4 linked regions of the Saccharomyces cerevisiae S288C genome follow. Changing the gene in region 2 together with the main gene of any one other region gives a genetic interaction. Each region holds a gene or a part of one and is shown on either strand. Other genes may lie near its edges.

Region 1 (8,502 bases), on a different chromosome or scaffold from region 2:
TGTGTTATATTTTTCCAGAAGACCGTTCTTTAACTGAATAGATATAGTACCTTGAGATGTGAAGGATCCTCTAATGGAGCGTGGTCCATAGACAGCGGTAATGAGCGATGTTTGGTGTCCTAAGCTTCTAGCTTCTACTAATGCAGATCCATTGCAGTTTTCGATGAAACCGGTATGTAGAGAAAGTTCCTGTTCACTTTCATTGCCTTTAGGTGTCAAATCTGTTGATTTCTTTTCTGGCACATGAGTAGTAGTGTTGCTAAACGCCATTGGCTTGGCAGCAGCAGGGCCTAATAACCTCCTTCTGTCTTGAACATTCATTTATTCTGATAACACCTTAATGTGAGTATGTTCCTACTTTTAAGTGGAGTATGTGCTAATCCTTAAAGGAAGTTTTCGTGGCTCAATCAAGCACAACGCCCAAGCTTTTATTTAGATATTCATTTCATATTACTGAAATTTTTTGAGTATTTTCCAAGGCCTTGTAATCTTCCGTATCTAGCGATCTCATCTCATCGTGAAAAAAAAAAGAGTAAGCCATTCGAAGAAAAGTTGGCAAATAGAGATGGTGAATGAAAGGTTTAAGAATGTATCCTATTTACTTACTAATGTACACAAAATATTATAGACCAAATTTTTCCTCAAAAATGGAATATAGTAATTAACGTAAAAAGAGAAAAAATTGAAATTGAAATTCATTTCATTTTCTCATTAATCAAATGTTTTCTTTGAACCAGCGAAAGAAGCGGTATTTCTTGATCTGCCCAATGGAGCAGTATTAGCACCAGAACCAGATGGTCTGAAACCGCCACGGCCACCGCGAGCGCCACCACGACCACCGAATCCACGGTTACCGCCACGACCACCGCCACGACCACCAAAACCACGGCTACCGCCACGACCACCATCGTTGTTTGGTCTTGGAGAAGAGAAGTCTAATCTAACTGGTCTGTTGTCAATGTATTCACCTTGTAAAGCGTCTAGAGCCTTCTTGGCGTCCTCCATGTTGGAGAATTGAACATAACCGAAACCTTTTGGTTGTTCAGTTTCTGGATGTGTTGGGATACGGACGGAAACAACTTCACCGTGTTTAGCGAATAATTCGAAAATAGCGTCTCTGTCAGCATTGAAAGATAAGTTACCCAAGAACAAAGTGTCAGATGGTTCAGATGGGGTATCACCGAATTTCTTGGCACGATCGTTGTTACCAGCTGGCTTGCTTGTGGACATATCACAGTTGATTGGTCTACCATCAATTTCCTTACCTTGCATTTCTTGAATGGCCTTTTCAGCATAAGATTTGTTTTCAAAATCAACGTAACCATAACCACGAGATCTATCGGTACCTCTTTCATAAATAACTCTGGCACCAATGACACCACCGATGTGTTCGAATTCCTTCTTCAACCATTCGTCATCAATAGACCACGATAGTCTACCAACGAAAATAGTAGCTGGTTCTTCGGTTTCTTCATTTTTTTGCTTCTTGTTGGAAGACTCTTCGTCTTCTTCTTCTTCGGCGTCCTCAGATTTACGTTTCTTATCGTTAGACTCTTCCTTTTCGCTTTCGCTATCAGAAGATGAAGATGAGGATGAATCAGAGCTAGAAGATTCTTTTGATTCTTCCTTCTTGGTTTCTTCTTTTTCTTCTTCTTCTTCTTCGTCGGAAGAAGAGTCAGAGGAAGAGGAAGAGGAATCCTTGGATTCTTCCTTCTTGGTTTCAGCTTCACTTTCGCTGTCAGAAGACGATGAAGAAGAGGATTCAGAATCAGAGGATGAAGATGAAGATGAAGATTCAGATTCAGACTCAGACTCAGATTCAGATTCAGATGAAGATGAAGATGAGGATGAAGATTCGGAGGAAGAGGAAGAGACGGCCTTAGCTTTTTCTTCTTTGGCTTGTTTGGAAGCCTTAACTTCCTTCTTGTTACCTTTTACTTTAGTAGTCTTAGCCATCTTATTTTATCCTGCCTGGGTTGAGTGATCCGAAATTGGTTAACAGTTCGTCTTTGGGAAGCAAAAGTAAGAAAAATACTACGAAAGGAAATAACTTAAGGTACCAATGGATTGGGAAGTGCAGACAGCAACAGCTACACTTAAGTACTTTTAATATTGGATTGAAAATTTTCGTTCTTGCGATGAGCTGCCCTTGCAAATTTTTCACCAAAAAAAAAAAAAAAAAAAGAAATGGAGTGAAAAAAGAAACGAAAAAAAAGGGCATGGGGACCCATACATCAGGCACTTACCCCCAGGAAGGATTACGTCTTTAAATCAGAGGATCAAAGGGTAATTAACAACCACCAGTCGAATTGCTGTCGTCTTTCTTCAATTGCTTTATCCAAAAATCTGAATGGATGTAAGTATTGCCCAGTAAGTTTTCTTGGCAAAATAACCTATAGCGAAATAGACAATCAACGTGATGGGGTTTAAATAGCTAGCGGTAAGTAACCACTAGTAGAACGTAGCTCCATAGCGTGTAATTTGGCGGCAAAATATGTGAAGCAAGCATATTCGTTATTACTTAGCTGCCTGTGAAATCCTGTCTGTGCCTTCTCTTTGCCTTTACTTTGTATAAAAACATATCAACACTGTCTCTGCGTATGAGGCCGAGGTATTTAGAGCATAAGAAAAAATGTGAACAAAAATAGTGTCATCTCCAGTAAGGCTTAAATGTATATTGATTTTCTATATATATATATATATATATATATATTTATGAAATAAACCATATAATTATAAGTAGTAGCTTGGAAAAACGCCAAAGTTGTACTTAGAATGAGGTTTTAAAAAAAAATTATAAAAAAAAACCAAGCGAGAAGTCACGCTTATAACGCAAGTGCACGAACTGCATATGTGTTGGATTGCCAAAGATCAATAGGAAGAATATATTTAGAGAAACTCTGTTTTCTTATGTATCTCGCTTACAGCCTATTTCAATGAACCAGTTTGGAATCTCTTTGCCATGAGATCAGCCTTTAAAGAGTTTGAGCCATCGAGACTGTAATTGGAAGAACGCCTTCTCCTGTCATGAAGAAGAGCACCGGATTCGGTTAAATCGCTAGACGAAATGCCGCTTAGAGAACGTGGAAGAAGAGTGTGATGTGGAAGATCGGCGGAGGGAAGGTTTCTGTTTGTTGTTGGTGCTGAGTGGATTTTAGTCTCAATGGGGAAAATCGTGTCTGAGATGCTTGTTCCGTTAGATATGGAAGCGTTCCGGCTTGACCTTCTGGCGGAATGGGAAATGTGGGTCATGGAGTCCTTGGGTGTTAAGGGAAGTACGGTGTGTCTGGATGCACCATCTGTGAGCTTTAGCTTTGGAGTGTCGAGGGTGTAACCATAATTGCAGTCATCATCATCTAGGATGGCAGACTCGCCTTCGAAAAATGGAGACGACCTTCTAGCCGGGACCGGATGGTGCAGTTGATTTTTTAACCTAGAGTTTTCTTCTTTTAAAGTTTCAATTTCCCGTAGAAGTCTTACTACAATAGCGTCTTGCTCCTTTTCCATTTCGTTTATTATTTCTTCCCTCGAAAGCCTTCTCTGTGCTGACATTGGTGACGAAGAAGGAGACGACGACGTCGAAAGTCTGCGAGGATCACGTGCTACAGCTGGTCTCATGGCTCTTGTAACTGAAGTTTGTCTCTCTCTGCATGGTTTGGCAACAGCCTTCTTGTGTTTTGATTCTTTATTCATGTTTACGGCTCTGGAGGTAGCGATCATTATACTTTATCTTCTATTAATGCTATGATTGATGAATTATACGTATGTATGTATCTGTAAGAAAATAGCCGAATGATTGATTATCTTTTCTTATATATGATTCAAGGGAACGAAAAGAAGACAAGATAATGTTAGGCAAGATAGTTTTTTAGACGACTGAGGCCGAAGATAAGCTTTATATATATGCAAGTCTATTTTTGTACGGGCGAAACCATCTAAGCCAACGATAACAATAGCCAGCTATGATCGTTGAGTACAGCGTGGGGCAATTTTTAGCGTGATTGATAAGGGCGCATTATCTCATCATCCATCGCCAATTTGGGACTCTAACGGCAAACCTCGGATTTCCGTGGAAACGCATGGAAAAATTGATCCGGGCTGTGAGGGGAGTCGAGTCAGTCACTTTTTGGCAACTCTCTCCGTCATGACCACTACTCCGCGGTAGCTGCCAAATTTGGTATTTCCAGGTTGTTTTTTGTGGACAGCCCGCGATCATATGTAAGAGCAGGATGTGTCATCCGCGGGTGAGGTAAACGCTGGCTTGCCATTATGGTTTTTTGGTACGTGTTGAACACGTTGCTTACGATCTTGGTAGGGGCGGGCTGTGATGTGAGAGCCACAAACCCGCTTCCTCGTTGTGGCTCTGGCGCTCCGTTTCTTCTTTCCCCCGCCTTGTAATATGTCGTGCATGCGTCCATGATGATATCGTATTTATTGTATATTGTGGTGATTTCGGCATATTTTAGCACATCTGTAGTATACCACAGAGCTAAAACAACCGATTATAGTCAACATTATACAGCATTATGTCTGGATACTTCAACCATCTTTCTTCGAATGCACATTTCGCAAATATTCAAGCCGATCAGGGCTTCATAGGTGATGCTACTGGCACAAGCAGCGATCATGGCAGTAGTGGCATGGTTGATTTTGCCCTACAACTCGGAGAACTGAGCCTAGAAGAGAAAATACTTAAAGAGTTCACCTTATTCCAGAGCAAGAACATGGACTTATTGCAAGAGACGGCGACGGCGTGTCCGAGTACTAATCCTTCCTTGAGACAGAGCCGAATTCAAGGCTGGTGAACGCCTGATGCGAGCTATACGTTTTGTGCTCACCGTGCACATATGGTGGCTACTTTTCTACTCAAACACGTTTGAAAAACGGCATACGATTAGCTTACAGATTGAACTCAAAGAAGTCGCAATGGGAGGTGCAGAAGATGACGTGTTACTTAGTTTATAATACAATGTGTTTTATATATCGATTCTTCGTTTATGCATTTCTGGACGATTGCTTTTCACTGTAAATACGCACTAATATTCATGAATATAAAAAAATGTAACATCATATCTCAATGTTCTTCTCCGTCAGTCAGATAGTGGCAAGGCTGTGATAGGACATTCTTAGAACGCCAAGAAAATCAAAAATTTGAACGGTATCTAAATTCATTTGTCGAACCCTTGAAGAAACTCACAGAGCGGGGTATCTACTATTTTGTTTTCGTTCTTTTGAATCTCCGCTACGTCACATTTTCTACAACCCTCAGGTCCCCTCACCACGAAAATCCAAGATTTGTAAAATATGAGCCGCGTATTTCTGCAATGGTAGAAACGATAATGTACCTATCGTACAACGATACATTATTTTAGTGCATTATAAGCCGCTTGATTCATGTTGATAATTAGCGGCTAAATTGTAGTAGTCATTCAAAATAATCGTACACCTTCATATAGTTATGAAAGGGGTATAAAAGATGAACGCTCGTTGGCCATGTCAAAGGTGCCTTAAAAATAACAATGCTTGCGGTAGTACGTGTGCAAAGTGTATATTCGCATGAGAGGTGATCGGAAATTGCTTTATCGCCCCACTAATTCTGATTCTTATTCAAATATTTATGTCACGTAGCGAGCTTACTTATCCATATATCAAAGGAAATCCAGATATAAACTCAAACTAATTCTTCTGTTTCCACGTAACTAGCATTCACATTGTAGTTTTCTAGATTACAGCAATTTATATATATTGTTGGAATAAAAATCAACTATCATCTACTAACTAGTATTTACGTTACTAGTATATTATCATATACGGTGTTAGAAGATGACGCAAATGATGAGAAATAGTCATCTAAATTAGTGGAAGCTGAAACGCAAGGATTGATAATGTAATAGGATCAATGAATATTAACATATAAAATGATGATAATAATATTTATAGAATTGTGTAGAATTGCAGATTCCCTTTTATGGATTCCTAAATCCTCGAGGAGAACTTCTAGTATATCTACATACCTAATATTATTGCCTTATCAAAAATGGAATCCCAACAATTACATCAAAATCCACATTCTCTACATGGTAGCGCCTATGCTTCGGTTACTTCTAAGGAAGTCCCATCAAATCAAGATCCGTTAGCCGTTTCAGCTTCCAATTTACCGGAATTTGATAGAGATTCCACTAAGGTTAATTCTCAACAAGAGACAACACCTGGGACATCAGCTGTTCCAGAGAACCATCATCATGTCTCTCCTCAACCTGCTTCAGTACCACCTCCACAGAATGGACAGTACCAACAGCACGGCATGATGACCCCAAACAAAGCTATGGCCTCTAACTGGGCACATTACCAACAACCGTCTATGATGACGTGTTCACATTATCAAACGTCACCTGCGTATTATCAACCGGACCCACACTATCCGTTGCCACAGTATATCCCACCACTGAGTACTTCCTCACCTGATCCAATCGATTCACAGAATCAACACTCTGAAGTACCTCAAGCTGAGACAAAGGTGAGAAATAACGTCTTACCACCACACACTTTAACATCAGAAGAAAACTTTTCTACATGGGTTAAATTTTACATCAGATTTTTGAAGAACTCTAATCTCGGTGACATCATTCCAAATGACCAGGGTGAAATCAAAAGTCAAATGACTTATGAAGAACATGCGTATATATACAATACCTTCCAAGCATTTGCCCCATTTCATTTATTGCCAACATGGGTAAAACAAATTTTAGAAATTAATTATGCTGACATCCTTACAGTCCTTTGTAAAAGTGTGTCCAAAATGCAAACTAACAATCAAGAATTAAAGGATTGGATAGCTCTTGCCAACCTTGAGTACGACGGAAGTACATCTGCTGATACATTTGAAATTACAGTCAGTACGATCATTCAGAGGCTAAAAGAAAACAATATCAATGTTAGCGACAGATTGGCCTGTCAACTAATACTTAAAGGTCTATCCGGTGACTTCAAATACCTACGTAATCAATATCGTACCAAAACGAACATGAAACTTTCCCAATTATTCGCTGAAATTCAGTTAATATATGACGAAAATAAAATCATGAATCTAAATAAACCGTCCCAATACAAACAACACAGCGAATACAAAAATGTTTCTCGCACATCTCCAAACACGACTAACACAAAGGTTACAACTCGTAATTATCATAGAACAAATAGTTCAAAACCAAGAGCAGCAAAAGCTCACAATATTGCTACATCTAGTAAATTCTCAAGGGTGAACAATGATCACATTAATGAATCAACCGTTTCATCACAATACTTAAGCGATGACAACGAACTTAGTCTTAGGCCAGCAACAGAAAGAATCTAAGCCAACACACACAATAGACTCGAATGACGAACTACCTGATCACCTTCTTATTGATTCAGGAGCTTCGCAAACGCTTGTCAGATCAGCCCATTATTTACACCATGCAACACCCAATTCTGAAATAAACATAGTCGATGCTCAAAAACAAGACATTCCTATAAATGCCATTGGTAATCTTCACTTCAACTTTCAGAACGGCACCAAAACATCAATAAAAGCACTACACACACCAAACATAGCCTATGATCTATTAAGTTTGAGTGAGCTGGCTAATCAAAATATTACTGCCTGCTTTACCAGAAACACTTTAGAAAGATCGGATGGTACAGTACTAGCTCCCATAGTCAAACATGGAGACTTTTACTGGTTATCTAAAAAATACCTAATTCCTTCGCACATTTCAAAGCTAACAATAAACAACGTCAACAAAAGCAAAAGCGTAAATAAATATCCATATCCGTTAATACATCGAATGCTTGGACATGCTAACTTCCGAAGTATTCAGAAGTCTCTTAAGAAGAATGCAGTTACATATTTGAAGGAATCGGATATTGAATGGTCTAACGCTAGCACATATCAATGTCCTGACTGTCTAATCGGCAAAAGCACGAAACATAGACATGTCAAAGGATCACGACTAAAGTACCAAGAATCATATGAGCCTTTTCAGTACTTGCACACCGATATATTTGGTCCTGTACATCACTTACCGAAAAGTGCACCTTCTTACTTTATATCGTTTACAGATGAGAAAACCAGATTCCAATGGGTGTACCCATTACACGACCGTCGTGAAGAATCTATCCTCAATGTTTTTACATCGATATTAGCATTTATTAAGAACCAATTCAATGCTCGCGTTCTAGTTATCCAGATGGATCGTGGCTCCGAGTACACTAACAAAACTCTTCATAAGTTCTTTACGAACAGAGGTATTACTGCATGCTATACAACCACGGCAGATTCTAGAGCACACGGTGTCGCTGAACGATTAAATCGTACTTTATTAAACGATTGTCGCACACTGCTTCATTGCAGTGGTCTACCAAATCATCTATGGTTCTCAGCAGTCGAATTTTCTACTATAATCAGAAATTCATTAGTCTCACCAAAAAACGATAAATCTGCAAGACAACATGCAGGTTTAG
Region 2 (4,502 bases):
TGTGAGTATACGCTTTTGCCGTTATGGCCAAATCATGTATCGAGCCGTTTTCCTCCTGTGTGTATTCATTATGTGATCCTAATTCCGTGCAAACACCCATGAAAGGGTTTTCCATATTTTCTTTTATTATATCGATCCTGCGATATAATAACCTTCTTCCGATGACCTTGTTAAATGTAAATTTGTAAAACTAGATACGTCAGATGTTGTTTCAACATCATTCGCGTCAATAGCAGAGTTAATGCCTGATTTTGTCTGAAATCTCGTAGAAAAGAATCTTTTAGAGTGGCTGTGGATCGTGGATAACAAAAATACTCTCAAATCCCTTACTTGGCCAATTAAGGTATCCATGCAATCCCCACTACTGTATATCTTATGTAGCCTGGGACTATGCGGCCTATTATTTGTTTTAGAACGTCCTAGTTTTCTCTTGTAATTGAACATTTGTGACAGATAAAGTATCATCCGATAAACGTATAGGAAGAGATCGAATGCATACAGGCCTAAGAATGGTATTAGCAAAAAAGCTATGCATGTGCGACAGATATATTGAAGTGATTGTATAACGAGCAATAGAACTATTTCCAACGCCTCTATCATGATTGTCGAAAAAAAGGTCCTGATTCCTTAATGTTTTATAATTTTTATCTGATAAATGGATCTTGTTTCCTGTAATAATGGGTTACCAAAAGTTTTTTATAAGAATATTTAGCTTTACCAGACTAGTATACATCAACAGACAATCACACTCCCTTAAGATGTTTTTCAACAGCAAATTAAAAGGAGACCCTGATTCTTAATAATACAGATATACGGTGTATAATGATGTTGCAGACTCGTGATCACAGTTTACTGAAATTAAGAAAAAATGACGAACTAACGAAATCCAGACGTGAGTCAGAATAATTATAACAATAAAAAAAAAAAAAAATTTCTATTGTTTTATACCGGATCAATGCTGCTTTTGAGTGATATTTTTCGAACAATGTACGACTTTATTATGCGGGTAACTTTGAAATAGACAATGGAAAAACCGTTATTTGCAGAAGGGGATGGGAAGATACGAAGAGAAATATCTAGCAGTCTTCGACGCCACCTTTTTTCCTTCTTCATGTGCTTTGAGACAGTTCATATAATTTTGTTATAGAGATACAAATATACATCATTTCGTAACAAGGGAGGAATAGAAAGAGGGGATACCAAGAAACCATACTGTTACATATTGTGTCTTTGGCCCGATCTCTTTCCATTTCTTTCTCTAATATATTATATACACTCACTGCACCCCAATAACGCTCAACTCTAAAGTCCAAACTCTACGAATATGTAATCGGACGGGTACAATGATTTTATGTAGTTCTGCTTCAGGATCAACGTTTGTTGGCAAGATCAATTCAATGATTTTCTTTGATTCATCTTTCCAAGAGCCGAAGACTTCCACTTCTAGCTCTATGTCTTCTTCACCCCACCAACATTTACGAGCAGGTTTTCTCCAAAATAATAGTAGCTTAGCGTTGATATTAGGTTTTGGCACTAGATCATACAATTTGGGCAACTCCGGAGGTTTACTTCTGGTCTGCGAACTATGTCTCGAGGAAGAGTGCGAACGAACGTTATCTGCTAGTTTCGACAGCCTTGATTTTCTCTTATCACGTGCTGTAGCAGGTGCTGTACTTCCGCTTGTTAAATTCCTTGCTGTAGAAATGGTACTGTTAGATTTACTTGCAGATAAAGAGTTAATCGATATGTTAGATTGCATTGGGGTGATGAAGTTGTCTTGAGAAGGTTTGTGCTCTGCCTCCCACTTAGCCTTAGCCTCGTTAAATTTTTGCCTAAATCCTTCAGTTGTCTCGTTAGCCAATCGGCAAAGAGACAGTGAACTTATAACCGTTTTGCCAGTTTCTTGAGTTCTGTTACCCCAACAAGTTTCCTTGGTGAATCCGGAGGAGCACAACATATCCATTAAATGTTGTTCAGCAGGTCCCAATTTTTTCGAAGTAGATTTAGTATTTGAAGAAGAATTGGACCCCTTTTCAATTTTCTGTTGTTGCTGTTGTTGCTTTAGTCTATTCGAAGAATACAAACCTTGGAAAATCGATGTTTTTGAAGTTAAATAACTGCCAGCAGCCATTTTCACTTGAGCCATAAAATGTCGCAATAAATCCTCATTATTTTCTTCATTAGTGGAATCAAACTGAAATTCCTCCTGAGGTACACAATAATAATCCAAGTCTTCTCTCAAAACAATAATAGCGGGCTTTTGATGTAAAATATCCTGCTCATTGTTGCTCGAAATTGAATTATTGCTACTCAGTCCAAAAAATCCCTTTGCATTCGAAACAAAGCTACTTGATGGTCTGTCAAAAAATTTCTCCACAGGATGATTATACAAATCATCATGCGCTTTTGTATATATCTCCATGATGTACTCAAAACAATCAGGAGGGAAATTAACAATGTAGACCTCATCGTCTCTGGTCAAATTAGTAATGACCTGACCACAACGGTCCAAAAAAACACCTGAGGGAAATAAACACAGTAATAGGGATTCAGGTAGAGACATCAACTGGTCCCTCGTAATGAAATAATGGTTTTCTTGAATATTCAAATGAATCAATGAATCACCATAATCCTCCTCGTTACCTTCGTACTGTGAGTTCTGTTGCTGTTGCTGTTCTTGTAGAATCGGAGCGGACTCTGCATTATCTGGAGAAACTTGCGTGATTATATCGTCCATTGTTTATAATAAGTGTAAGCTCAGACAACCTTTATCTTTATCAATTAATGGGGAGGCGGGAAAATTAATAGCCTAAGTGTGAAGGAGTTGTCTTCTTGCGCTTTCTGTTCTTTTCCGAATAAAAAAACAATTAAATTATCACTGGAGAAAATGCTTCTCAATTAAAAAAATCACTAAATAACGTTGTTTCTCTTTTCCCTTATTTTTAATGGGATAAACGTTCTAACAAAACTTTTTTTGTCTTCTAAATTTGGATCCTTATCTTCTTATGACCTTTGGGGGGAGAAAAGAAAAAAATGACTCTAAACTGACGCCGAGTTAGAGACTCTCTCACACTCTATCACTATGCCTATGCTGTAAACTTAAAACAACGATAGACCGTTTTTTGTCTTACTTTCCTCCTTAGTAATTATTACTCTAGAGCATAAGAAATTGGCCATTGAACATGGCCCGTTCTGACTAAAATCTTCTCTTCCTGATAAAATTTGCTTTTTTTATTTTGAATTGCCCTCCTTCGGGTCGTTTGGAAAAAACACCCAAACACCTCTTACATACAAGATTTGCAACGTTTTGATAAGTAAGTACATTATGCAGAGGTTATGTTTTTTCTTGACCGTCAAAACACTGTTCATGCATGCTAGCGCTGTCGATATAAAATCGGGATTTTCATACACCCATCAGGTTGGTTGAATTCTTTCTTTAACTCTTACTCATCTTTCTTTATTTTCCGGATATAGCACGTAACCTATCATTTTTTTTTCTTAAGGTTGCCTTTGCCGTTCTTCGCACTATAAAAAAGCACGCTTATGAAAATTTTTAATTACTTGACTTTTTAAATCTGTCATTGAAATTTAGATGATATGCAAAACACATTACGAAAATGTCAATTGGAGTTTTAAAGAACTCATGTTGCTGTTACAATACGTAGAATGGTCAGAAGTGTGCTGATGCATATACTTTGAAGTGTCAAAGTGTCTGAACGGGTGCCGTAAAAGACCTATTCTTTTTTATGATGAATTTATGTTTTCAATCTTATCTACATTATCTGAATTAATAGCTAACAATAGTTATAATGGAAGATATACGACTATCAACAATTCTGAAAATTTTTTCTTACTTCCTTCAAGAAGGTAGTGAGTTCTTCACAAGCGCGTAAAATAAGATGCGTCCAAATATTGGCACGTATACACATGTACGTAGATATCAGCTTTACATCTCGTCGTCACTATTGATTAAGAATTCATCCTCATCCGGATTTTTCTTATTTCTAGAAACAGCGTTTACTTTAGTTGGTGTAGTATCCAGGGGTTCCGGTGGTAGCGGCTGCCATTTCTTCTTCGTTTCTGTATCTGGAGTATCAATGTAGGTTGTCTCTGCCACTACTTTTCCAGTCGACTCACCAGATTTTGTTCTCGTTGGTAACTGAGGTGGCACATCTTCATCATCTTCAAATCCATCTTCGTTGTGTAGTGTGATTCCGTGGCTTTCTAAAGAGTCATCACCGACTTGAACGCCAAACGAATTGAATCTTCTTCTCTCAGGTTGCTGGGGTCTTGAATTTTTCCCGCCTTGTGACAAATCCACAATCTCTGGCTCCCATTCTTGCTGATCTTGGTGACCATGTTGGTTGTCGTTTTGCTCATTACCTGACGCAAAGTTTCTCCGGTAAGCATCACTTATCCAGTTACTAACTTTGTTTGCTGTGTCCTGTAATGACCGACCGGCTCTGTCCGTAAGCTCTGGCAGGTCCTTTTCTACAAATTGC
Region 3 (8,138 bases), on a different chromosome or scaffold from region 2:
TAATACATATTCCTCTAGTCTTGCAAAATCGATTTAGAATCAAGATACCAGCCTAAAAATGTCCAATAACTCATTCACTAACTTCAAACTGGCCACTGAATTGCCAGCCTGGTCTAAGTTGCAAAAAATTTATGAATCTCAAGGTAAGACTTTGTCTGTCAAGCAAGAATTCCAAAAAGATGCCAAGCGTTTTGAAAAATTGAACAAGACTTTCACCAACTATGATGGTTCCAAAATCTTGTTCGACTACTCAAAGAACTTGGTCAACGATGAAATCATTGCTGCATTGATTGAACTGGCCAAGGAGGCTAACGTCACCGGTTTGAGAGATGCTATGTTCAAAGGTGAACACATCAACTCCACTGAAGATCGTGCTGTCTACCACGTCGCATTGAGAAACAGAGCTAACAAGCCAATGTACGTTGATGGTGTCAACGTTGCTCCAGAAGTCGACTCTGTCTTGAAGCACATGAAGGAGTTCTCTGAACAAGTTCGTTCTGGTGAATGGAAGGGTTATACCGGTAAGAAGATCACCGATGTTGTTAACATCGGTATTGGTGGTTCCGATTTGGGTCCAGTCATGGTCACTGAGGCTTTGAAGCACTACGCTGGTGTCTTGGATGTCCACTTCGTTTCCAACATTGACGGTACTCACATTGCTGAAACCTTGAAGGTTGTTGACCCAGAAACTACTTTGTTTTTGATTGCTTCCAAGACTTTCACTACCGCTGAAACTATCACTAACGCTAACACTGCCAAGAACTGGTTCTTGTCGAAGACAGGTAATGATCCATCTCACATTGCTAAGCATTTCGCTGCTTTGTCCACTAACGAAACCGAAGTTGCCAAGTTCGGTATTGACACCAAAAACATGTTTGGTTTCGAAAGTTGGGTCGGTGGTCGTTACTCTGTCTGGTCGGCTATTGGTTTGTCTGTTGCCTTGTACATTGGCTATGACAACTTTGAGGCTTTCTTGAAGGGTGCTGAAGCCGTCGACAACCACTTCACCCAAACCCCATTGGAAGACAACATTCCATTGTTGGGTGGTTTGTTGTCTGTCTGGTACAACAACTTCTTTGGTGCTCAAACCCATTTGGTTGCTCCATTCGACCAATACTTGCACAGATTCCCAGCCTACTTGCAACAATTGTCAATGGAATCTAACGGTAAGTCTGTTACCAGAGGTAACGTGTTTACTGACTACTCTACTGGTTCTATCTTGTTTGGTGAACCAGCTACCAACGCTCAACACTCTTTCTTCCAATTGGTTCACCAAGGTACCAAGTTGATTCCATCTGATTTCATCTTAGCTGCTCAATCTCATAACCCAATTGAGAACAAATTACATCAAAAGATGTTGGCTTCAAACTTCTTTGCTCAAGCTGAAGCTTTAATGGTTGGTAAGGATGAAGAACAAGTTAAGGCTGAAGGTGCCACTGGTGGTTTGGTCCCACACAAGGTCTTCTCAGGTAACAGACCAACTACCTCTATCTTGGCTCAAAAGATTACTCCAGCTACTTTGGGTGCTTTGATTGCCTACTACGAACATGTTACTTTCACTGAAGGTGCCATTTGGAATATCAACTCTTTCGACCAATGGGGTGTTGAATTGGGTAAAGTCTTGGCTAAAGTCATCGGCAAGGAATTGGACAACTCCTCCACCATTTCTACCCACGATGCTTCTACCAACGGTTTAATCAATCAATTCAAGGAATGGATGTGAACAAATCGCTCTTAAATATATACCTAAAGAACATTAAAGCTATATTATAAGCAAAGATACGTAAATTTTGCTTATATTATTATACACATATCATATTTCTATATTTTTAAGATTTGGTTATATAATGTACGTAATGCAAAGGAAATAAATTTTATACATTATTGAACAGCGTCCAAGTAACTACATTATGTGCACTAATAGTTTAGCGTCGTGAAGACTTTATTGTGTCGCGAAAAGTAAAAATTTTAAAAATTAGAGCACCTTGAACTTGCGAAAAAGGTTCTCATCAACTGTTTAAAAGGAGGATATCAGGTCCTATTTCTGACAAACAATATACAAATTTAGTTTCAAAGATGAATCAGTGCGCGAAGGACATAACTCATGAAGCCTCCAGTATACCCATCGATTTGCAAGAAAGATACTCGCACTGGAAGAAAAACACTAAACTACTTTATGATTACCTAAACACGAATTCAACAAAGTGGCCGTCCTTAACGTGCCAGTTCTTTCCTGATTTAGATACCACTTCGGATGAGCATCGCATCTTGTTATCCTCATTTACATCTTCCCAAAAACCTGAAGATGAGACCATATATATTAGCAAAATATCCACGTTGGGTCATATAAAATGGTCATCTTTAAATAATTTCGACATGGACGAAATGGAATTCAAACCGGAGAACTCGACAAGGTTTCCCTCCAAACACTTAGTAAATGACATCAGTATTTTCTTCCCAAACGGGGAATGCAATAGGGCAAGATATTTGCCTCAAAATCCAGATATTATAGCCGGCGCCTCTTCAGATGGTGCAATCTACATATTCGATAGAACAAAACACGGCTCTACTAGAATAAGACAGTCCAAAATTTCACATCCCTTTGAGACAAAGCTGTTTGGTTCACATGGTGTTATTCAAGACGTGGAGGCAATGGATACTTCTTCGGCAGATATAAATGAGGCGACTTCTTTAGCCTGGAACTTGCAGCAGGAGGCCCTTTTACTTTCTTCTCACTCCAACGGCCAAGTTCAAGTTTGGGACATTAAACAATATTCGCATGAGAACCCTATAATAGATTTACCCTTAGTGTCAATAAACAGCGACGGAACAGCGGTGAATGATGTAACTTGGATGCCAACACACGATTCCCTCTTTGCTGCTTGTACTGAAGGAAATGCGGTCTCCCTATTAGATCTGAGGACTAAGAAAGAGAAGCTCCAGAGTAACCGTGAAAAACACGATGGTGGAGTAAACTCCTGTAGATTTAACTATAAGAACTCTTTAATTCTAGCATCTGCAGATTCAAATGGGAGGCTAAATTTATGGGATATTAGAAACATGAACAAAAGCCCAATCGCTACCATGGAGCACGGTACTTCCGTTTCAACTTTAGAATGGAGTCCAAATTTCGATACTGTATTGGCAACGGCTGGCCAAGAAGATGGGTTAGTCAAGCTATGGGATACCTCCTGCGAAGAAACTATATTTACCCATGGTGGTCATATGCTCGGTGTGAACGACATTTCGTGGGACGCTCATGACCCTTGGTTAATGTGCAGTGTGGCAAATGATAATTCAGTTCACATATGGAAACCTGCAGGAAACCTTGTTGGACATTCGTGACCTAAACGTTCCTTGAAGCCAGGCATGCTAATGGCTCCTGTCCCTATTACATATTCAACCATTTGATAGACGAATATACAAACATAAATAGAGTTTATAAAATATGCTCAAGACTTGCTACAATAAACACTACGCTCAGACTTCATGCTGATTTCAATATTGTATTTCGAAGAAAGTGGTTGCTCATTTATTACCTTTGAACTTTCACTTTGGTATTTTGATATTCTCGAGGTTTCCCAGTCTGGCTTGAACTTCAGTTCGCCTTTTGAAAGTGGCAGGATTATAAGGTATATTTCTGTAATGTGATGGTGCAGTGCCTCTTGGATTCCAGTCTTTATCGTAAAATATACTTCTTATACCGAGTTCACCGTTCTCTTTTTCACGACCCAGTGAGTGTCCAGAATCAGCTTCTAAATGACCTTTTGATACAGTCTGCAGAAGCTGTCCCTCTTTATTTCTCTCTAGGTTTCTAGAAAGTGATTCAACTTGATTTCGTACCTTTTTCTTATTTGGGCGTTGGACCTTGGAAACCCTTCTTTCTGTTAAGTTATTACTTGGGTCCTTCTTTTGATCCATTAAGCTCAAACGTATATAGTATAAAATGATGGAATGCGAGAACTAAAAGGATTGGATGACTTTGAAGGTAATATATTTCCTTGATATTTGAAAATAATCAAAAAAATTTGCTGAAGGCCTTTGCAAAGTGTCTAAAAGTACGTTCTGTTCAAAAAAGTAAGGAAACTCAATATACAAAAATTGCCTTTTCGTCAAAGTTAAGGATTTTAATATTGAAATATTTCATCGATATAAGAGAACCCCGAGCAAGAAGAACAAAAGAAAAACATAAAGCAACGTGGAATATGTCACAATCTACTGCATCACTGGTACCAGAGGGCAATCAAGGCTCCCTCCAAGAAGATGTTAGTTTTGATTTCAATGGTGTACCTGGCCAGGCTTTAGATGCCGTGCGCATGCGTTTGGCTCAATTAACTCATTCATTGAGGAGAATCAGAGACGAAATGTCCAAAGCCGAACTGCCACAATGGTATACACTCCAATCACAACTGAATGTCACATTATCCCAGCTCGTTTCTGTAACCTCCACTCTACAACATTTCCAAGAAACTTTAGACTCTACAGTGGTTTACCCTTTGCCTAAATTCCCAACCACCTCTCATGAAAGTTTGGTCACTACCCTTTTGAGGAAGAAGAATATTCCTGAAGTGGACGAATGGATGAAATATGTTAGGGAAACATCTGGAGTAACTACAGCCTTGCTAAAGGATGAAGAAATAGAAAAGCTGCTGCAACAGGACAGAGAAATAACGAATTGGGCGCGCACTACGTTTAGAAACGAATATGGAAAGCACGATTTCAAAAATGAAGAATCCCTAAGCGAAGAACACGCTTCACTTCTAGTACGAGATAGCAAACCTTCGAAACCTTTCAATGTGGATGATGTTCTAAAGTTCACCTTCACAGGGGAAAAGCCCATTATTACGGGATCTACTTCAACATCATCTAGTAATTGAATTTTACTTCACGCTACTGATATTTTAAAACATTTTATTGTTACTAGTGACCTGGTAAAAATATTTACAAGTATAAAAGGACCAATTTACTGAATGAAGTAAATAAGGATCATTGATATGTTACGATAAATAATGCAAAGTAAAGGAGAAGAAACGAAGGGGTCCAAACCTTAGTAGGTTAGCTTTCTATAAACTTTGACAGGCTTTATATCCTTACAAAATGCACTTTTTTCATACTTTTTTGTTAGAGTATGTCTTGGCCCTAAAGTGAATTTAGAGTTTTTTAGATTTCAAGGCTACGATAGTAGCCTTATAACAATTTCCCATGTACCAAACATAATTATACTGTTCGGAACTGTTCTCATCAAATGCGGGGTCAACCCACTATACATTGAAAAGAGTCCCTCTTCTTTAATTATAACTTTGAAACTTTGTACTAAACCTGTATACTTTCGTTTACCATTTTCCTTGGGCGTTTGTCTCAATCTCGTCCTGACAACTTCGTGCGGATATGTTGCTATACTAGCCACAAATTTTGCAAGACCAGCGCTTCCTGATCTTTGACACCACTCCTTGACTTTCTCTGATGTGCTTTTTGTACCTTCGGCTTGATATCCAAATTTCTCAATAGACCTTTCCTTTATTAACCTCTTCATTTGTTCATATAATAGCCATTGAAGTATACCTTCAACAGAACCCAAATAAGAGGCACTCAACCCTTTGTACAAGCCAGTGAAACCCTCATTTCTTATAACACTTTTTAAGCAATCCCAAGAGTTCTTGTACTGTCGGACCGATGTTTTCCCAGCTTTATCAAGCTGTACTCTTGTTTTAATCAACCAAATAGGATTGGTTGCCGTCGCCGTTGCCCAACCTGCGGTTGCAGCAGCCATCAGATGAATCATAGGTGTTTCTTGGCCATTATTGAACGCTTTAGCATACATATCTTTAGTAGTTCCATAGGTAAAAAAATTAATACTTCTTGCTGGAATAACCCCGACTAAATTGGGGCCCAAACCCTTAAACAAGCTTCTAAAACCCTCTTGTTTGTACACATTGCCTATGATTCCCAGTGTTTCCTTGAAATGGGTTCCTGCTTGAATGACATAATTAATACTCTTTGGACGAGTAGATCCTTTACTGATATTAACAGCTTGTGATTTGTATGCTTTCAAAAATATATCACTTTGTAATCGGGTCTTCACCAAATCAAAGGGACACGTAACAACTGCACCCGCCATTCCTCCAATACCCCCAGCAACAAAATGAACCCATGGTTTTACTGTTGGATGATTTTCAATTTCAGATTGCTTCAAATTTAGTGGAATTTGTGTAGCTTCCTTATAATTAGAGCCCTTTTCATCACTTGCTAAATATGGAACTGATTCAATGGCATCCTCTTCCCATTCTTCAATGGATTTTTTAGGCATCTTTATCTCCTTGAAAAATTATGGGATATGAGAATGGTCAACTATGTAAGTAAGTAGGTGACTTTGACACAATAAATATAGGACCACGTAAAGACAAAATCGTCCGATTTTTTTACCTCAGTTAGCAGTACTTCAAAGAACAGTTTCTATAGAGAACAAGGCTACCCCTTTATACAAAGTTGAATTCTCTATGTGAAGTTAGACTTTTACCATTATTCTTTTTAATTTTACTTCTTGGATTTTGGCGTAAGGTTAATTTTTCACTAAGAGAGAGCCCGAAGCGAGGATTCAAAAGAGATGCTCAACGCAAGTAATATCTGGATGACATGAAGTGACTGTGTTGAGTAGTCTATATAGGTCAGAATAAAGAACCAAAAGAAATAATCTAAATGTACAAATTATGGATATTAGACACAATTTATTTTTTATTATATTATATATTTAAAAATAGACAAAAAATAAAACCTAAAACCTGAAAATCTTTTTCGATACAAAACCAGCATCGGGTAAATTAGATGAAAGTTTCGTATGGAACTGGGGCCAAAGTTTGAGGAACGTTACCTTCAGTAGAAACGATACGGGATTCTCTTGGTTGAGCTGGTTGTCTCTTCAATTGAACAGCAACACCTTGAGCCTTAGCTTCAGCACGCTTAGCAGCATTGGCCTTAACTCTTTCCAAAAATTCTTGTCTACACTTGGAGTGCTTGATGTGTTCAACTCTTAAGTTTAATCTTTTTTCTAGATATCTGTTACCGACCATCTTGTTGATGATAACACCAACAGAAGACTTAGTAACGTTGTAGACAACACCGGTCTTACCTTGGTAAAACTTGTGTGGCATACCCTTTTGGATAGAACCATTGGCTTTGATGTCGACAATGTCACCAACCTTGTAGACCTTCAAGTAAGTAGAAAGATGGACGGCACCATGCTTTCTGAAGTCACGTTGGAACATGTAACGAGTACGAGATCTGTAACCGTGTCTGTATTATAAGGAAATAAATCAAAATTAAGATTTATAAGAAATCATGTTAGTATTCTATTGTTTTGCGAGTTTCTGAGATGCGTCCCAGCACATAACCGAATGTTTGGAAAAAGGGCTTGTAATTACTACACTTCTAATGTTGAACTAATTTTCAAAGCAACGACTGTAAACTAATGACTTACAGCCCGTTAAAAGCCTATCATGTCACGTAATTTTCTCAGAATCAGTGTAGCATCATCTTATCTGCCCAATATTTTGCTCTAATGATATGTTTGCTTTATTCACACTAGACACGTCTTTAAATCTTTTTATTTCTGTGACGATATGTTCGGTTTGAGATACCATGATTCGTTCGTGCTGTAGATTCATAGGATTAAATGACATACGATTTACCCATTGTTGCTAGTTATTTTTGTCTTGGTTCTCTTATTCCAAAGTTCAATCGGTAATGCCTGAAATTGCACACTACTTTCTATATTATCTTTACCAGACATGACACTCCATTGGTGATAAAATTTCACAGAGGCGCAGAGACCGTTTACCTTTCCAGCTCTCGTATTGTGGCCCCCACCGCTGCCTGGGCTTCCAGCACGGCCACTAGTAGCGGTGGGCCAACACATCAAAGGAGGTTTGGCAGCGGTGCTTTTCCTCGGTTCTGAGCATGTTCTAGCGGCTGGGAAAAAGGCGATATTCAAACTCATCCTTGCCTCCAGTAAAAAAGGGTGTGGTGATGGTGAAGATGTACAGGTGTAAAACTGTCAGACTAACAAGTATAATATTGCGATTTATATTATCGAGATATATTGAGGTCAAGAGATATATACCAAAGTGAATGCAAGATGGCAT
Region 4 (8,362 bases), on a different chromosome or scaffold from region 2:
GTGAGGTTGAAAGGATAAGACGATAATGTGGAAAAGAGATGCTAGTGAGACAATTTTTAATTTTGCAGGTGCTAATTTATAGCCGAAGTAATTCAATAGTAAAACAGTTGGTGGCATAAACATCATTCTCAAGTAATGCGTGAAATAAGCAGTAACTGGCTCCACACCCCACTTGGAAGCGTAACCCGCAACCACGTTGAACAAGAAACCATCTACCTCAGGTAGACACCATTCTTGCCAGAAATATGAATCAACGGTGATACTGATGGCGGAACCAAGTCCCAAGCCAAAGATACCGAATTTGATAGCATCGAATAAAGAAATCTTCTTGAAGATGACGCTAAATAGAGCAATACCAGCACTGAGAGCTGACACTTCCAGTCTAAATACAATTGCCACGAGCGCAGATAGGAATATAGCTGCATTATAACGACCCAATAAAACCCACCCCAATGCGACGTTGGTTAGAGGCAGAGTCATGACAAAATTAGGCAGAGTCCTAGTGCTGTAGAACATGAGGTGGAAACTGCCAATTAAAAATAAAAGAAACCATGTACCAGCGCTATCGTAAATGTATATATCCTTGTCTTCATTTTCTTCCTTTTTCTTTTCAGTGATTTCATCAAACATATCTTGCAAACAATTCTTTAAATAGATAAAAGAAAGCCCATTGGTGAGGCCAACAATCCCCCTAACGACCAATTGAACATCTATAGACGTAGGCCTGGAAGTTTGGATCAAAGAACTCAAGTAAAGATAAGGTCTCGAAAGCATTGCAATAATCACAGCACCAACGAATGTTCTAGGGACTACTCCAGGAAATTTCAAGTGGTCATATTGGGAGATATCAAATACGCTGTAGGTTAAAATATCATGAATGGCTTGAATATTAAAACTCTCTTCCACCTTGGTGAATGGAGCTTGGATTAGATGAAAGGAAATCACGGTCAATAGCACTGTATCAAGGACAGACCAACGCATTGTCAACTGAATCGTTGTTTAATGGCTTTATTCAACTCTTTTAACAACACTAATCGTTAATGGTTTCACTTGCTATTAGTAAATTCCTTGCGTTATAAACTGTGAAGTGCCACGACATTTAATGCCGGCTGGTAAAAGGTTGTTCATTTTTAAGGGCCGAATTTTTCATTTTCATTTTCATTTTTTTTTTTTTTTCACTATTGGAATAACATGTATATTATAAATATTATATAATATTAAATGTTTAATGCGCTTGTAAAGCCAAGAACACCCTTTTCATTGAGGAATTTTCAACTTTTAAAGCGGAAGAATGTCTGCATTGAGAAACATCAAGTTCAATGAAGAAGAAGATGGTGAACTACCCTGCCTCGTAACAGGTGAAGAAAATAATCTACAAGAAATTTTGGAAAATGTCTCGTATGATGGTGGAAATATTGTTAGCGATGCAAAAGTTGAAAGGGTAAACAAGCAAGTGGAGAACACTTCTGCAGGCGCAACAGATGTGCACGAGAAAAAGCGTATTCCTGTGAGCATTATTACCGGCTATCTAGGATCAGGTAAATCGACGTTGCTGGAAAAAATTGCATTAAAAGGTGCAGATAAAAAAATTGCCGTAATTTTAAATGAATTTGGAGATTCTAGTGAAATCGAAAAGGCTATGACCATTAAAAATGGATCGAACAGCTACCAAGAATGGTTGGATTTGGGTAACGGGTGTCTGTGTTGTTCGTTGAAAAATATAGGTGTTAAAGCCATCGAAGATATGGTGGAGCGTTCACCTGGTAAAATCGATTATATCCTTTTAGAGACCTCCGGTATTGCAGATCCCGCCCCCATTGCGAAAATGTTCTGGCAGGACGAAGGATTGAATAGCAGCGTTTACATTGACGGGATCATCACGGTTTTGGATTGTGAGCATATACTAAAATGCTTAGATGATATTTCCATCGATGCCCATTGGCATGGTGACAAAGTTGGTTTGGAGGGGAATCTGACTATTGCACACTTCCAACTAGCCATGGCTGATCGAATTATAATGAACAAATACGATACTATCGAACATTCACCAGAAATGGTCAAACAATTAAAAGAAAGAGTACGGGAAATAAATTCTATCGCACCGATGTTCTTCACCAAGTATAGTGATACGCCGATTCAAAATTTACTAGATATTCATGCATACGACAGTGTACGGATATCTGACATCTTAGATAGTGGTAGCGGAAACGGTACCATTCATGATGATCGAATGGGCACAATAATGCTTACTTTCAGACCATTAAAAAACGAGGAAGAATATAATAATAAGTTTATTAAGCAATTTTTGCAACCTTTATTGTGGAAGAATTTTGGAGCCATGACAGTGCTGGGAGGGCGTCGCCGAGATGACGGCCGTGATTGGGAAGTACAAAGAACTAAAGGTCTGATACTTATTGAAGGAGAGAACCCCATTGCTCGTGTAATCCAAGGCGTCCGCGACACCTACGATGTCTTTCCAGGCAAATATGACGGATCCAATAAAGAGTGTAAAATTGTGCTGATTGGGAAGTACCTAGAAAAGGAATCCATAGAGGAACTGTTACGTAAAACCCTGGAATGATGGTTGGCATAATAAAGACGAGGTAAGTTATGTATATTTATACGTATGTATGTGATACAAAATGAATGAATATTAAGCGGATGGATCGAAACATTTTAATCCTCTCTAATAGAAACTATTTTAGACGATCTGTTGAATATTCTTTTCCTGTACTTGGCCAAAACGTAGAAAAGTAACAATACCGAAATACCAAGCATAATCTTTGGTAAAGGATGGTGAAGCTGATTATATTTTGCGTCTTCTAACTTTCTTTGACTACCCTGGTATAAATAATTCTTCAATGTAATACCTTTCTCCAAATCGCCGTTTTGGTAATCTTGAAGCCTTTGTAAATACTTTTCGTGAGCTTCCTTTGCATGCTGAATCCTGTGTTCCTGGGATGAAATGTAACCTATTGTTATTGGTTGCTCTGGTTTGCCATTTTCGTCAGTTTTCACATTAGCTAGTTTATCCATCAGATCTTTTAACCCGGCGGTAACTTGGCCAAACACAACACTTTCACCTTCAAGTGGCGTCTCACTGGTCTCAATTATAAACTTAAGACCCTTATCGTCCTTAATCATGGAAACTCTGCCTGGCCTATCATGAATTAAACTATGATTTTCTTCCGGGAGTTTTGGAGCCAACATTTCCGTTTCTTCAATAGAGGAGGAAGAAACGGAGCTACCTTCTATAGCTCCATTCGGTAGAATTTTATCAAAATCGCGTTCTGGCGAGTAACTGTGACGGGAAGCAAGGCGATCTTTTACACTATCAACATACTGGCAAAAAGTCATTACTGTCTTGGGCACCATAGTCCCGTATAAGTCTATTGTTATGAGACGGCCGGCTTCTTCCGAACTTTCAGGATCTGTGAAAACAATTCCGATGTTTACATTATGTGTAATAGGAGGGTCTGGTGCGTATTTTTTCTTTAGGTCTAAGGAGTCTGAAGAAGCCCTTTTGTTATCCACAGGTAATGGCAGAGCCGTTATGCAACTAAACATGAATGCCACATAAAGATAAAGAAAAAAGCTCTTCATTGGGAACCAATGTATACAAATTGTAATAATCTTTCAATTGTGATACTGAATATGAATAGTCTTCTTTATTTATCTACTGCAGTAGTTGATTCTATATATTCTATATATTCTATATTTTTCTTCTATTTTTTTAAATATTTTTTTTCCAATCAAATTGAAAGACCCAAAGAAGGATCGATCTTCTCCAAAGGGACGCGTCGTGTGCCTACAGTTTCCAAATCAGGAATGTATTTTCCTATTTAGGCAGGTTCCTGCAGCAGCCGCACCCCAATGAGGAAGGAGCATACCGTTTCGTAAGAATCATATTTTAATGGTTTTTGGCTTGCCAATGGAGGGTATGAGATCTTGCTTTAGGATGTCTCTACACTGAATCAGCTTTAAATCCTTGATATCTATCGTGGAATCTTGTGGGCCCCGCTCAGCTATGTTTAAATCATACGTTTTTTGTAGGATACTGGTGACGAGCCACAGCACTTGGCCCAAGGATGCGCTTAATGACAGCTGTGTGCAGCGGCGGTCGCCTAGTAACGAGTCAGTGAGCATGGCGCTGATTAAATCACCACTTCCACTAAATTTTGCGTTGATCTTGGGGATTTCATAGAAGAATATCTCTTCACTGGCCGAGCAATCAAACCCTGCTACTACGTAAGTGTCGTTGCTCAGGAATTCAGATAATTCCAGACTAGTGACAACTATTCGGCTTACTCGAGGGTACTTTTTATGAAATAGTTTAAATGCCTGCTTAGCGTCGTCTAAGGTACGAATTGACATCCCCACCAACAGTTCCATTTCAAACTGATTTGGTGTGGCCAAAAAAATTTTGAAGTTTTGTAAAATGTCTTGGTATACCGCAACACATTCTCGATCCACGTACAGCCTTCCATTATCGCCCAGTACAGGATCTAATATCCACTTGACGTTTTCACTCCCCTCACATAATTGACCCACTATTCCTGCTACCTTTTGCAGGGCTTGAACATTGGGTAAATAGCCACTAAGTACGGCATCATACTTGATTCTAAGAGACCCAATCAAGCCCTTCTCTACAATGTCTACCAACTCCTCAGTGCTGCATTTGAAGCCTGTGAAGTGGGCGTACCCCGAGTGGTTAGAAAACTGAACTGTGTTCAATACGTCCACATCCCAACCTCTGTATTGAAGTGGGAACGTAGCGGCCTTGTTTCCCACGTAGCCATGTATGACGTGTGATTGAATGGAGAGCACTTTTTTTGTCGTATGTAATGTACTGGTCATTGGCACCACCCTCACACAGGCATGTATTCAACCTTCCACTGCGTCTGGTCTAATTTCTCAAAGCTAGTTATTATCTTTATCTTGAATGGTGATGACAATAGAGTAAGAATGAGGGAAAAAAGAAAAGTTGAAAAAAAAAAAATCCAAAAAATTCAAAAACGTGTACAGAAACCTAGAAGGATACGTGATAGAAATACAGATATATAACAAGGTTGAGATACAATCGAGCCACTATGAAGTTCGTGACAGCTAGTTATAACGTCGGGTATCCTGCGTACGGTGCAAAATTTTTGAATAACGACACATTACTTGTGGCAGGCGGTGGAGGAGAAGGAAACAATGGCATACCAAACAAGCTGACGGTCTTGCGCGTGGATCCTACCAAAGATACTGAGAAGGAACAGTTTCATATATTGAGCGAGTTTGCATTGGAAGACAACGACGACTCTCCTACTGCAATTGACGCTTCCAAGGGTATCATTTTGGTTGGCTGCAATGAAAATAGCACTAAGATTACCCAAGGTAAAGGTAATAAGCACTTGAGAAAATTTAAATACGATAAAGTGAATGATCAATTGGAGTTCCTCACTAGTGTAGACTTTGACGCATCTACAAATGCGGATGACTACACGAAGCTGGTTTATATTTCACGAGAAGGTACCGTTGCAGCTATCGCATCATCTAAAGTACCTGCTATAATGAGAATCATTGACCCGAGCGACTTGACAGAGAAGTTTGAGATCGAGACTAGGGGTGAAGTAAAGGATTTACACTTTTCCACTGATGGTAAGGTTGTTGCTTATATCACCGGTTCTAGCTTGGAAGTGATTTCAACAGTGACTGGAAGTTGCATTGCTAGGAAAACAGATTTTGATAAGAATTGGAGTTTATCTAAAATAAACTTCATAGCCGATGACACAGTATTGATAGCAGCCTCTTTAAAAAAAGGGAAAGGTATTGTGCTGACCAAAATAAGCATCAAATCAGGAAACACTTCCGTATTAAGATCCAAACAAGTGACAAACAGATTCAAAGGGATTACTTCTATGGATGTCGACATGAAGGGTGAATTGGCGGTACTGGCAAGTAATGACAATTCCATAGCTCTTGTGAAACTAAAAGACCTGTCAATGTCTAAAATATTCAAACAAGCTCATAGTTTTGCCATTACAGAGGTCACTATCTCTCCGGACTCTACATATGTGGCGAGTGTTTCGGCAGCCAACACTATCCACATAATAAAATTACCGCTTAACTACGCCAACTACACCTCAATGAAACAAAAAATCTCTAAATTTTTCACCAACTTCATCCTTATTGTGCTGCTTTCTTACATTTTACAGTTCTCCTATAAGCACAATTTGCATTCCATGCTTTTCAATTACGCGAAGGACAATTTTCTAACGAAAAGAGACACCATCTCTTCGCCCTACGTAGTTGATGAAGACTTACATCAAACAACTTTGTTTGGCAACCACGGTACAAAAACATCTGTACCTAGCGTAGATTCCATAAAAGTGCATGGCGTGCATGAGACGAGTTCTGTGAATGGAACTGAAGTCTTATGTACTGAAAGTAACATTATTAATACTGGAGGGGCAGAGTTTGAGATCACCAACGCAACTTTTCGAGAAATAGATGATGCTTGAGCTTGAGAGAAAGTTATGAGGTAGCAATAATGAAGTAGCGAAAAGGAGAGTGACGACACTCAAGCTATGAAAAAAAACGCAAAGATACAAAAACGATCTCAATGATATTGATGATAGAGATTTATCTGATAAATTAGAAGTGGTGTATTTACATGTTTTTGTATATGTTTTGGAATTGAGCGTAATAGAAAGGACGGCAGTCCTTATGGTTTATGACAAATACGAAAAAAATACTACACAATGCTTTATATTATGTTCTCATTATTATATACGAATACGTACTTCTGCTGGTGCATTGTCTGCGCTACTTTTTTGAATTTCTATTTTTATTTTTACCATTATGGTTGGTCTTTTTCTTTTTGATGCTATCCTTAAATAATTTATCTAGGTCATATTCATCCTCTCCATCGTCTTGGCTCCCTGTAAATTCCTTATCCTTAGCATCCCTTTTCTCGTCTTCATTTTGTTCGCCTTCATCAAACTTTCTCTTCCTGGAACCACTATCATCAGAATTATCGCCAAAGGTTTTTCTCCCACTTATCACACCCTCAGGTTTTCGCAGTTCACTGTAACCAACGTTGGAGATTATGAGATTGGGTCGCTTCTTATATACTACTCTTTTCACCTTTTTCTTCTCCTTACCTGAAATTTTTTTTAAATCATCTTTGTAGCTATTGAGGTCCCACGCTGAGTCATCCAGACCAAAGAGTTTACCTTTCTGCTCTATAGGTTCCACATCTGAGTTGATATTAGACGGCGTATTGGAGTTGGAACTCTCTTCGTCATCCGTCTTACCAAATTTCATAAACTTCATATTCATGACTCTACTAGAGAGTTTGCCAGTGACACCATTGTTAGCACTCATTTGTTGCTTTTCCCTTGGTTCCTTATATGCTTATTGTGTTTAAGTGGCCCTCATCTCTACTACTTTTTCATATTCTGAAATTTCCAGTAGAAAATTTTCAGCGCTTTTCTTAGAAAGAGACAATGGAATCAGACAGCCGCCATTACTTGTAGGCGCTATAAACAAATCAGCATTGTCTGTTCGTCTTTAATTATTATAAATGAATGGTGACCTTTCTTTTCCTATCTAGAGTTTATATACAAAGAAAACTACATAAATCTTCAGTCTATTGTGTATCAATGTAAAGAAGCCTACATTCGTCCATTTGATAATATGACTTCTATATTCTCGCGCAACATAGCTTCATTTTCCTTGTAAAAGTTAGCCCGCCTTACCATATCTTCATTATAGCCCTCATCTCCCGATAAAACTTTCAAAGCATTCGAGGTAGAAGCAATGCATTCATTTAATGCTTTAACTGGGTCCTCACTAATTTTCTTGAAGAAACGGTATCGTTTGTTGCTCTCGTGTAGATTCGAGAGAACGGACGTTATTTCTTTGTCCTGTAAAGCTATCTTGGGTTTGATTTGTTCCAATTCCCTGGCATTTTCATTCAATTCAGCAGCCCCAATTTGACTTTCTCTTTGTGTATTATTGAATTTTAGAGCGTTGACATCAGGTACTTCAATATCAAGAACCAACTCACCATAAGTGGAAGCTTTATCAACGCGTACTGTGTAATCAATTTCAATTGGCTGTAATGGGAGCAGGTGAGTACTATTAATAAGGGACAGTAAATCCGTTAATTTCATTGTATCTGGAGAAGATTCTTTAAGACTGCTGGGTAATAAGGTAATAAGCTGAGTGTCTAATTTTACAATAGAAACTTGACTGGAGGCTGCATCAAGCATCTTACTAGTACTGGTGTTGCTATTGTGATTGTTCCTGTTGCCCATCAAATTTTCGAATGCAGACTCATCATTGGTAAGCAATTCATTTAAATGGATGTATT

Evidence for each region.
Region 1: mutations in WHI2 (region 2) and RTS3 together harm fitness more than expected from each alone (negative genetic interaction), as found in Saccharomyces cerevisiae (2 studies listed by BioGRID).
Region 3: mutations in WHI2 (region 2) and AIM4 together harm fitness more than expected from each alone (negative genetic interaction), as found in Saccharomyces cerevisiae (2 studies listed by BioGRID).
Region 4: mutations in WHI2 (region 2) and CPR8 together harm fitness more than expected from each alone (negative genetic interaction), as found in Saccharomyces cerevisiae (2 studies listed by BioGRID).

What each region holds. Positions count from the first base shown.
Region 1 is NC_001139.9:805,701-814,202, forward strand, and holds RTS3 (Rts3p), read right to left. Parts: upstream 3,721-8,502; coding exon 2,929-3,720; downstream 1-2,928. Other genes in the region: exosome non-catalytic core subunit MTR3, read right to left, coding at 1-321; NSR1 (Nsr1p), read right to left, coding at 712-1,956; YGR161W-C (uncharacterized protein), read left to right, coding at 4,527-4,805; YGR161W-A (gag protein), read left to right, coding at 6,038-7,354. UniProt on the Saccharomyces cerevisiae protein: May be a component of a protein phosphatase type 2A (PP2A) complex. Negatively regulates SIT4 phosphatase, a modulators of caffeine sensitivity.
Region 2 is NC_001147.6:409,105-413,606, reverse strand, and holds WHI2 (Whi2p), read right to left. Parts: upstream 2,738-4,502; coding exon 1,277-2,737; downstream 1-1,276. Other genes in the region: IRC23 (Irc23p), read right to left, coding at 127-600; ubiquitin-binding protein CUE5, read right to left, coding at 3,947-4,502. UniProt on the Saccharomyces cerevisiae protein: Plays a role in the coordination of growth and proliferation. Required for entry into G0 phase under conditions of carbon limitation.
Region 3 is NC_001134.8:605,821-613,958, reverse strand, and holds AIM4 (Aim4p), read right to left. Parts: upstream 3,922-8,138; coding exon 3,550-3,921; downstream 1-3,549. Other genes in the region: PGI1 (glucose-6-phosphate isomerase), read left to right, coding at 59-1,723; MSI1 (Msi1p), read left to right, coding at 2,077-3,345; RNA polymerase II mediator complex subunit MED8, read left to right, coding at 4,206-4,877; RIM2 (Rim2p), read right to left, coding at 5,174-6,307; 60S ribosomal protein eL21 RPL21A, read right to left, coding at 6,819-7,290, 7,679-7,689.
Region 4 is NC_001146.8:671,418-679,779, reverse strand, and holds CPR8 (peptidylprolyl isomerase family protein CPR8), read right to left. Parts: upstream 3,604-8,362; coding exon 2,677-3,603; downstream 1-2,676. Other genes in the region: ALG12 (dolichyl-P-Man:Man(7)GlcNAc(2)-PP-dolichol alpha-1,6-mannosyltransferase), read right to left, coding at 1-981; ZNG1 (GTP-dependent zinc transferase), read left to right, coding at 1,292-2,581; putative pyridoxal kinase BUD17, read right to left, coding at 3,904-4,857; Sar family guanine nucleotide exchange factor SEC12, read left to right, coding at 5,091-6,506; MPP6 (Mpp6p), read right to left, coding at 6,811-7,371; SNF12 (Snf12p), read right to left, coding at 7,662-8,362. UniProt on the Saccharomyces cerevisiae protein: PPIases accelerate the folding of proteins. It catalyzes the cis-trans isomerization of proline imidic peptide bonds in oligopeptides.